Linked DNA regions of Oryzias latipes. The protein of the gene in region 2 interacts with the protein of the main gene of each other region in a pairwise test. Links are inferred from orthologs where the notes say so. Each region holds a gene or a part of one and is shown on either strand. Other genes may lie near its edges.

Region 1 (4,242 bases), on a different chromosome or scaffold from region 2:
ACTCAGTCCAGTTTTCATACAGTCAGTTGTTCATAGGTAGATAGGTTGGTTGGTTGATTGATTGATTTGGTTTGGTTTCTTTCAAGTATTAATTGTAGTCAATACAAGAGAAAAATCACACGGATGTATCAAACTCCTTACAGAGATAATCAACTGCATAGATTCAAACAAACAAACAAACAGAAACAAAGACACACTTAAGACACATTTAAATATAGTGATTATTAACTAAATAGTCAAGTAGAAAGTGATTTAGTGCTAGGAAAAAAAGGAGTTGGAAAAAGCAAATTCATATAATCTCACTCCTATTGAGTTATTTTGTGTGAGAGTTTTGCAGTTTTGGATGATAACGCTCCACCACATGCTGCCAGAATGATCACAACCAGTCTCTAGGCTCATATGGTCTGACCAGCAATGACCCTTGACCTGAACCCCATAGAGCAGGTCTGGGACCAGCTGAAGCAGAGACTCTTTTGTAATAAAATTAAGGGTATTATATTAGTTTAATCTGTGTTCCCCCACACTTCAATACAAAATGTAAAGTACGGTAAAACCAAAGAGCAATATAACACATGCACACTCTGACATGGTAAAATATACTTGGATTTGTTCAAAACAAAAAGGGTCTTGGTTACTTTATTTTTTACATAAAATATGAGATTTCCATGTTCATTTGTCATCCAACATAACCCCTAAAATTTAAATTCAGACACCTGCTCTATATTTATGTTGTCAATGGATAAAGCCACTTCTGTTTTTTCTTTATTACCAAATACCATAAACTTTGTTTTTGTTAATTATAATCAAACCACATTTTAAGTTTCATTTCCTTTTTAACACTTTTAAGTTAGGGTTTTAGATTATCCCTGAACAGAGAAATTTGTCTTCATGTCCAAATAAAACAAACTGCAACAACTTAGAAATACCCCAAACATTTATAATTGAACCTTGTGGAAGTCCACAAATAATATTCATGAGATCAGACTTATTACCTCCAAACTGCACATACTGTATTGTCTGTTTTGTAAATAACTGGTGGGCGATTGCTCTAACCCCATACGCATGCAGTTTAGAAATCGAGATAGAATGATCTATGGTGTCAAATTCCTTCTTTAAATCAATGATAACTTTTAATGTATTTTTCTTTTTGTCAATTGCTGTTGAAATTTCTTCAACTACTTTCATTGTAGCAAAACCTGTAGACCTATTAGAACCAAACCCATAGTGATTCTCACTTAACAAGTTATTTATTTTTTTAACAAAAAAATAAACTTTTAACAATGTCAAAGGAAACTTATATTTATTTCAATAAAATTCAGAGCAAAATGGGAAAAATCACATGGAAATCACATTGTCAATAATAAACTCATTGGACGGCGTCCTGACGTCATCACGTAAGTTACGTCAAAAGACGTACGTTCACGCGGCGGTCCCCCCCGCCATTTTATATTTTCAACAGGCCGAGCAGCCGCAGTACGCAGCCAGCTATCTCCACGTTGTTTTCAGCTCCATTTCCAGCATTTTTATCTTCACGGAGTCTCTTTTTGGCGGTTCTACGTTGAGCCACCGAACCCGCGGACAGTCCCGCTCCTCCTTCAGGTCCATGAACTAAAAGCTGCTGGACTCTGGAGGAGAGAAGGTGAGTGTAAGGGCGCAGTTAGTGGTTAGCTCCATGCTAACGGGAGCGCTACATCCCACGAGCGGAGCAGACGCCTCCGGCTGCCTCCGGACGGCCAAACTCTTAACTTGTACGCAGACCATAACGTGTACTACTGTGGGAGGGGGTTCCTGATGTTCTACTTCTGGATGCATGAAATGCGTTGAACGCGTCCCCCGTCCTGTGGGGAAGTGAACAATAAGCGCGTGAAGCTAGCTAGCTAGTACGGGTATTACGGCTAGCTAGCTAGCTAGCTAGCTGCCCTGACAGCTAGTTTCGCTGCTTCATTGTGTTGCGGCAGATCCGTGTCTGATATCATGCATGTTTTCCTTATCGATCAAGTGAAAGATGACGCAGTTCCTCCCGCCGAACCTGTTGGCCCTGTTCGCCCCCCGGGACCCGATTCCGTTCCTGCCTCAGCTGGAGAAGCTGCCCCACGAGAAGCATCACAACCAGCCGTACAGCGGCATCGCCCCCTTCATCAGACACTTCGAGGTGAGCGTCGCTGTCACGTGCGAGCCTCCGTCCCCCCGATGCCTCTGTCTCACCTTCCTACTGTTTCCCACCAGGATCCTAGAGATGCCCCCCCACCAACCAGAGCCGAGACCCGCGAGGAACGCCTGGAGAGAAAGGTGAGTTTCCTCCCCCCTTTGCACATGTGCTCAAATACAGAACCTGATGGATAAATAAACGGTTTATCTCTGCTTTCATCCAGAAGATTTCATATTTGCGTTTGTTTTGCTTTATGGCAGCTGGCAGTAGCACAGATTCTGTCACATCAACCCAATGAATCATGGGAGATGTAGTAAACTCTGTGACACTGATGCAAATCTCCGGGCTTCATTATTGGATGCACTTTTTACACGGTCTGACACCGGATCCTGCTTGAAGCTACACTTCCACCATTGTTAGCTGGTATTTTGTCAGGGTGAGGAACTGGGGGTGTTTTACAAACTTTTTCCAAAATAAGAGCCATTGGCCTAAGTTGCTGCACAGTAGTGGTGCAGACATTTTTTTTAATCAAAGTGTCTTAAATAGGAAGTAAAAGTCTTCTGTGATCTGTAGTACTCCCAACTGAAACCTGGGCGTATTTCGATGAACGTAGAGCTAATATTCTGGCGATGGAAAATGTTTTTTTTTTTAGAACAAATAGGTGAAATTGAGTAATTTCTCATGGCACACTCAACCATCTCTTTACTATATAAACCTCTAACCTGATCCTGTCTGTGCTGCAGCGTCCACCAGTCGTTACTGTTTGGATCTCTGATTGTGCTGCGTAGATAACGATGGAAGGCATGTATACAGAAAATTAGGATTAAAATTGCATTTGTTAGTATTGTTGTTTGAGAAACTCAACGCCTGGATAGCTCCTTTATCGCTCGCCATTTTTGTTGCACAGATAATGTTATGTTGGGGTTGTAACGTTTCAGTTGAGCGTCTTGAGCCATAAAGGAAATTTATTTGTGAACTTGTGAATTGACTGAAGCAGGAGTTTGGCTGTGAAGCACAGACCTAATGAATGCAGATTCTCAAAGGAGGGGTAGTTGAATTACAGTCCTAACTCCTTCATTCAGCATTTTCTGCCTCGGTGAAAACCTCTCAAGTCTATAGAAATATTATACCAGGCAGGAGCCCAGCACAGGTGCATGCTGGCAGCAGACAAGAAACCAAGTGCGGGATTATGTCAGCTCTGTGCTGATGCTCTGCTGTTGGAGGCTCTGCGGTTGGCCGTCACCATTTTCTTTTCTGTTTCCAGAGGAGAGAGAAGATTGAGAGGCGACAGGGAGAAGTGGAGACAGAACTGAAGCTCTGTGAGTTTGTCACTTTCTTCACGCCGTTCTCCTCAAACGGTGAAAAGCTTTGTGCTCATCCTTCCTGTTTGTTCCATGTCAGGGGACCCCCATAATGACCCCAATGCTCAGGGGGATGCCTTCAAGACTCTGTTTGTGGCACGAGTGGTGAGTATTTGTCTTGGTTCTTCTCACTCCTTGTTCACATCTGGTAATTAAAACCTTTTTGTTTCAGAATTATGATACGACAGAGTCCAAACTTCGCCGTGAGTTTGAAGTCTATGGCCCCATTAAACGGGTAGCTATTGATTATTATTTTTCTGTGTCCAGATTTTCTTCAAAACATGAACCCTTTTGTCTTTACAATGTGAGAAAATTCTCCTGGCTCTTCAAAATACTATAAAAAAAAGTAAAGAGCCGTGCGTGAAGCGTTTTGGCGCCGCTTTGTGCGTGTCGTCGTGCGCTGACTGCATGTCTGCTGCCTCCGCTCTGCCGAGTCTCACCAGGAGTTTTTCTTTTCAGATTTACATCGTCTACAACAAGGGAACAGGGAAGCCCCGCGGCTACGCCTTCATAGAGTATGAGCACGAGCGAGACATGCACTGTGAGTACGGCTGAGGCATCGGCCACCAAAGCCAGTCTGTGTTGGTGTGTGTGGATCAGAGCACTGCTCGTCACTGATGCTTCTGTAAGGAGACCAGCAAACTGAGCTCTGCTCACCAGATCCATGTCTGCTGCTCGTCTGACGTGTGTGTGTGTGTGTGTGGGGGGGGGGGTCTGCTCGATGTGTCGCCG
Region 2 (3,512 bases):
AAGTTGTGCCCAACTTTGCAAAAAAATCGTATTACATTTAGTTTTACGTTTAACACGTCTGGCTTGAATACGACTTTTCTGTCAAAAGTAGGTCACGGGGTCACAGGCGTAAACATGAAGTCACGAAACATCGATACATCGATAAGTGTTCTGAAACTCAGTTATGAGACTAAAATGGAAAAGAACTTTTTAGAATGTTCCTGATCCCAGAACGGGGAAATTCTCTTGTAACCATAGCTCTGTAGAGAAAAAGCAGATCATAATAACGGGGATCTCCAGACACATTTTGCCGTTGCTAGGCAACAACAGCTGATCGAGTAAACAATGCACCGCAGATCGTTTCAGACCCAGAAGGGAGCAGCAGGAATGCCACTTATCTATGAAAAAAAAGAGAAGGATGGAACAAAACAAAATGAGCAGCGAAAGAAGGCTAACTAGCAGCTAACTAGCAGCTAACTAGCAGCTGACTAGCAGCTGACTAGCAGCTGACTAGCAGCTGACTAGCAGCTGACTAGCAGCTGACTAGCAGCCGACTAGCAGCTGACTAGCAGCCGACTATCGGGAGTTAAAAAAAACTGTCAGCAGAATCAGAAAACTAAACTTTCTTTCTGTATCTGGATACTTTTGCTGGCGTATAACATGAGTTGTTCTGTTTTCTCCACACACCCTAAATGTTTTGTATTGTTAATAAACTCCTCGTCTTGTGCTGATGACATCACTGCTGCCACAGGAAGGTTGGTGGCGATCACAGACGATCACTGATCTACGTTTACAGAACATGAATGAAGTGAAGGGAAAGAAGAAAAGCTGCTCCTCAGTGATTGTTCTCATTGCAGAGCCGTCTGGGTTTTCCTGACATTCTTCTAAATGATGTAATATTCAAATGAAAGAGAAGTTGGATTTAAAACAGACATGTCAAAATGTTGTACTTCTTTTTCAAAGTGTGCACAGCGTTCTCTAGAAACAGTCGTCTGACTCGGTAGAACGGCTCCATGTTGGTAACGGTTGCTGGGCTTTTGTGTGTCAGCTCTCTGGAGGACTGCCTGTCGGCTCAGGGCCTGGCTGGAGTGGAAAACCTCAGAGGAGATCTGGAGAAGTCTGCAGTCCAGCTGCAGTGTTCCCGGGCCTGCGAGGCTCACCTCAAGGCGGAGCTTAAACGCACCAGAGAGAGGTAAATGCTGCCAGTACTGCCGACTCCACCGTGTCCACCTGGACTGCAGATGGTTTCTACAAAAAACACAAAGACTTCTGGAAATGAGGAAAAAGTTCCGGTGAAATCCTCTTTACATCCGGATCCAGGAAGAAGTTATCCGTTTAGAGAGAAAACCAAGACCAGTGGATTTTTGCTCTTTCTAGAAGCAGCTAAACCAGCTGTTGAAATGAGGTTTCTGTCAGATTCTTTTGGAGCAGATGAGGATTTTGTGCAGCCCATCATGGAAACCTCCACGCTGCTGACTTCTGGATGTTCACTCTCAGCACCGCAGACATCCAGCATGGACAAAGCTGCTGACAAACCGTCTTTACAGTGAAGCAGACGTCTGGAATCAGACACGTGTTGTCTGGCTGCTGTTTTCTTCACATTATTCATCTGAGTTGTTCCTGCAGGCTGCAGGCTGTGAGCAGAGGCAGAGCTGATCGCTCAGAGACGGAGCAGGAAGTGGCCGGCCTCAAAGCACAGGTTGACTCTTCAGTTGCTGAAATGAAAAAGGTCCAAAGTCTCAGTCAAGCTAAACCTGTTTGTTGTTCATCTGTGGCCGTCATGCCTGTTTACCTCACTGTCGTCCACTGCAGCTGAGGGAGGAGCTTGAACTGGCCAGGCAGACCCACGCCGCTGAGGTTGAGGGGATGAGGGCGGAGGTTGCAAAGATGACCGGCGAGCTGCACCAGCGTGATCTGAGGATCGCCACGCTGAGCGGGGAGCGAGCAGAGCTCAGAGTGAGCTTGACCTCTGACTGCTGTGCAGCAATGACGTCTCAGTTTGTTCCTGAGCAGGAAGTTGCTTCTTGCATGAAGCATTTCTCTTGATCTGGGTCTGGGTTGCTCAGACATTGGATGGTTTCTCCTCACATTTTCTATATCCGTTTGTCAGATGACTTGGACCCAGCTGGAGACTCTGCAGAAGGAGAACCAGCATCTTCGTGACCTGCTGCAGAGACGGCAGCCTTCTTCACCAAAGGTCGCATGGTTCAGGCGTCCCCGACGCAGAGGACAGCGTCTCTGGAGCGTCTCCGGTGATCCAGTCGTAAATGTGCACTTCTGTATCCTCAGAGGGGAGAGGCCCCAGCAGCTTCACTGGGGGAGAAGCACACGGCCTCCAGAGGCAGGCCTGAAGAGGAGGATGGACAGTCGGAACAAACGGACCCTCGGCATCATGCCTCGGAGCAGACGTGCTTGGCTGCTCCTGCCAGGTGGGAGATGGCCGTCGATGATGTCTACTCACAGCTCCAGACTAACAAACCCTGTTCTCCCAGGCTTCAGATAGACACGCAGGCCGTGAGAGCCGAGGCCCCAGAATGCACCACTCACCGTGAGGGGGAGATCCAGAGGCTTTTTAAAGAGCTGCATGCTTTATCTATGTCCCCCAGAGAGCAGCACTGCAGCCAGGACCAAGACTACAGGCCTCCTGCTTCCTCCTCCTCCTCCTCCTCCTCCTCCAGCAGCACCAGTGCTGGACTGACTAGAAGAATCTCAATCCCGTCATCAAGTCCTGGTGAATTTGTTGAAGACAGGCAAAGCATAAGTCCTGGAAACTGTCTAAGCTCAGCATCTAGAGAAAGAAGAACTCTGTCTCCTACTTCAGAGGTGAGACTTCTCAGAATGTTGAACCAGCTCTGGTGTTTTTAGGATCCTCACAGGTTTTTGCCCCTCAGGAGCTTTCGTCACACGGCACACTGTCACATTTCCTGGAGGAGGAGAGCTTCAGGTCCAAGGAGCTGCTGCAGAGGCTGGACGCCCACATCCTGGGAATGAGGGAGATCAACCACAGAACCGTGTCCAAGTACGTGGACCGTGGCGTCAGGCCGGAGTGGGAGCAGACGTCCAGCGAGCGGACCCCTGTCTAATGACAGGGGGGCAACATTCTGACAGAGGCGGAAATCATGTCTCGACACGAGGGCCTCCTGGGGAACGCTTTCAGGAACGCCATCTTCACTGCAGAACAGCAAAATGACATAAACGCTTCAGTTTATTTCATTCTCACATCATCTCTTCAGGAGGAAGAAATGTGCAAGCCATGACGTTTCTGTCAGAAAAAGAAACTTCTAAATGTGATCTAAAGAACCTGGATGCTCCTCGTGGTTCGCTGGTTTCCATGGTGATTTGAAGAACTGTTCTCGTAGTCTTTAAGGGCTTAGAGAAGACATGGTGTAGCCAAACGGCAGATTCTGGCATTTTGCTCACGAAAAGAACAAACTTTAGCTTCTGAAAGCTCTCAGGATGCTGCATGGATCAGAGCTTTCAGGAGAGCCTCCATCCTTCCTGTTGCTACCCCCCCCACTGAAGCCCCCCAGCTT

What was found.
Region 1: the proteins of cep63 (region 2) and snrnp70 interact in binary tests that used the Homo sapiens proteins (3 or more experiments, as listed by UniProt). The link is inferred for Oryzias latipes from reciprocal best matches to the Homo sapiens genes CEP63 and SNRNP70.

The regions. Positions count from the first base shown.
Region 1 is NC_019866.2:24,779,863-24,784,104, forward strand, and holds the start of snrnp70 (U1 small nuclear ribonucleoprotein 70 kDa), read left to right. Parts: upstream 1-1,434; 5' UTR 1,435-1,639; intron 1,640-1,999; 5' UTR 2,000-2,005; coding exon 2,006-2,152; intron 2,153-2,226; coding exon 2,227-2,289; intron 2,290-3,413; coding exon 3,414-3,468; intron 3,469-3,550; coding exon 3,551-3,615; intron 3,616-3,682; coding exon 3,683-3,745; intron 3,746-3,969; coding exon 3,970-4,051; intron 4,052-4,242. UniProt on the Homo sapiens protein: Component of the spliceosomal U1 snRNP, which is essential for recognition of the pre-mRNA 5' splice-site and the subsequent assembly of the spliceosome. SNRNP70 binds to the loop I region of U1-snRNA.
Region 2 is NC_019862.2:2,679,624-2,683,135, reverse strand, and holds part of cep63 (centrosomal protein of 63 kDa), read left to right. Parts: intron 1-1,027; coding exon 1,028-1,171; intron 1,172-1,605; coding exon 1,606-1,708; intron 1,709-1,791; coding exon 1,792-1,935; intron 1,936-2,089; coding exon 2,090-2,176; intron 2,177-2,268; coding exon 2,269-2,408; intron 2,409-2,471; coding exon 2,472-2,802; intron 2,803-2,870; coding exon 2,871-3,062; 3' UTR 3,063-3,512. UniProt on the Homo sapiens protein: Required for normal spindle assembly.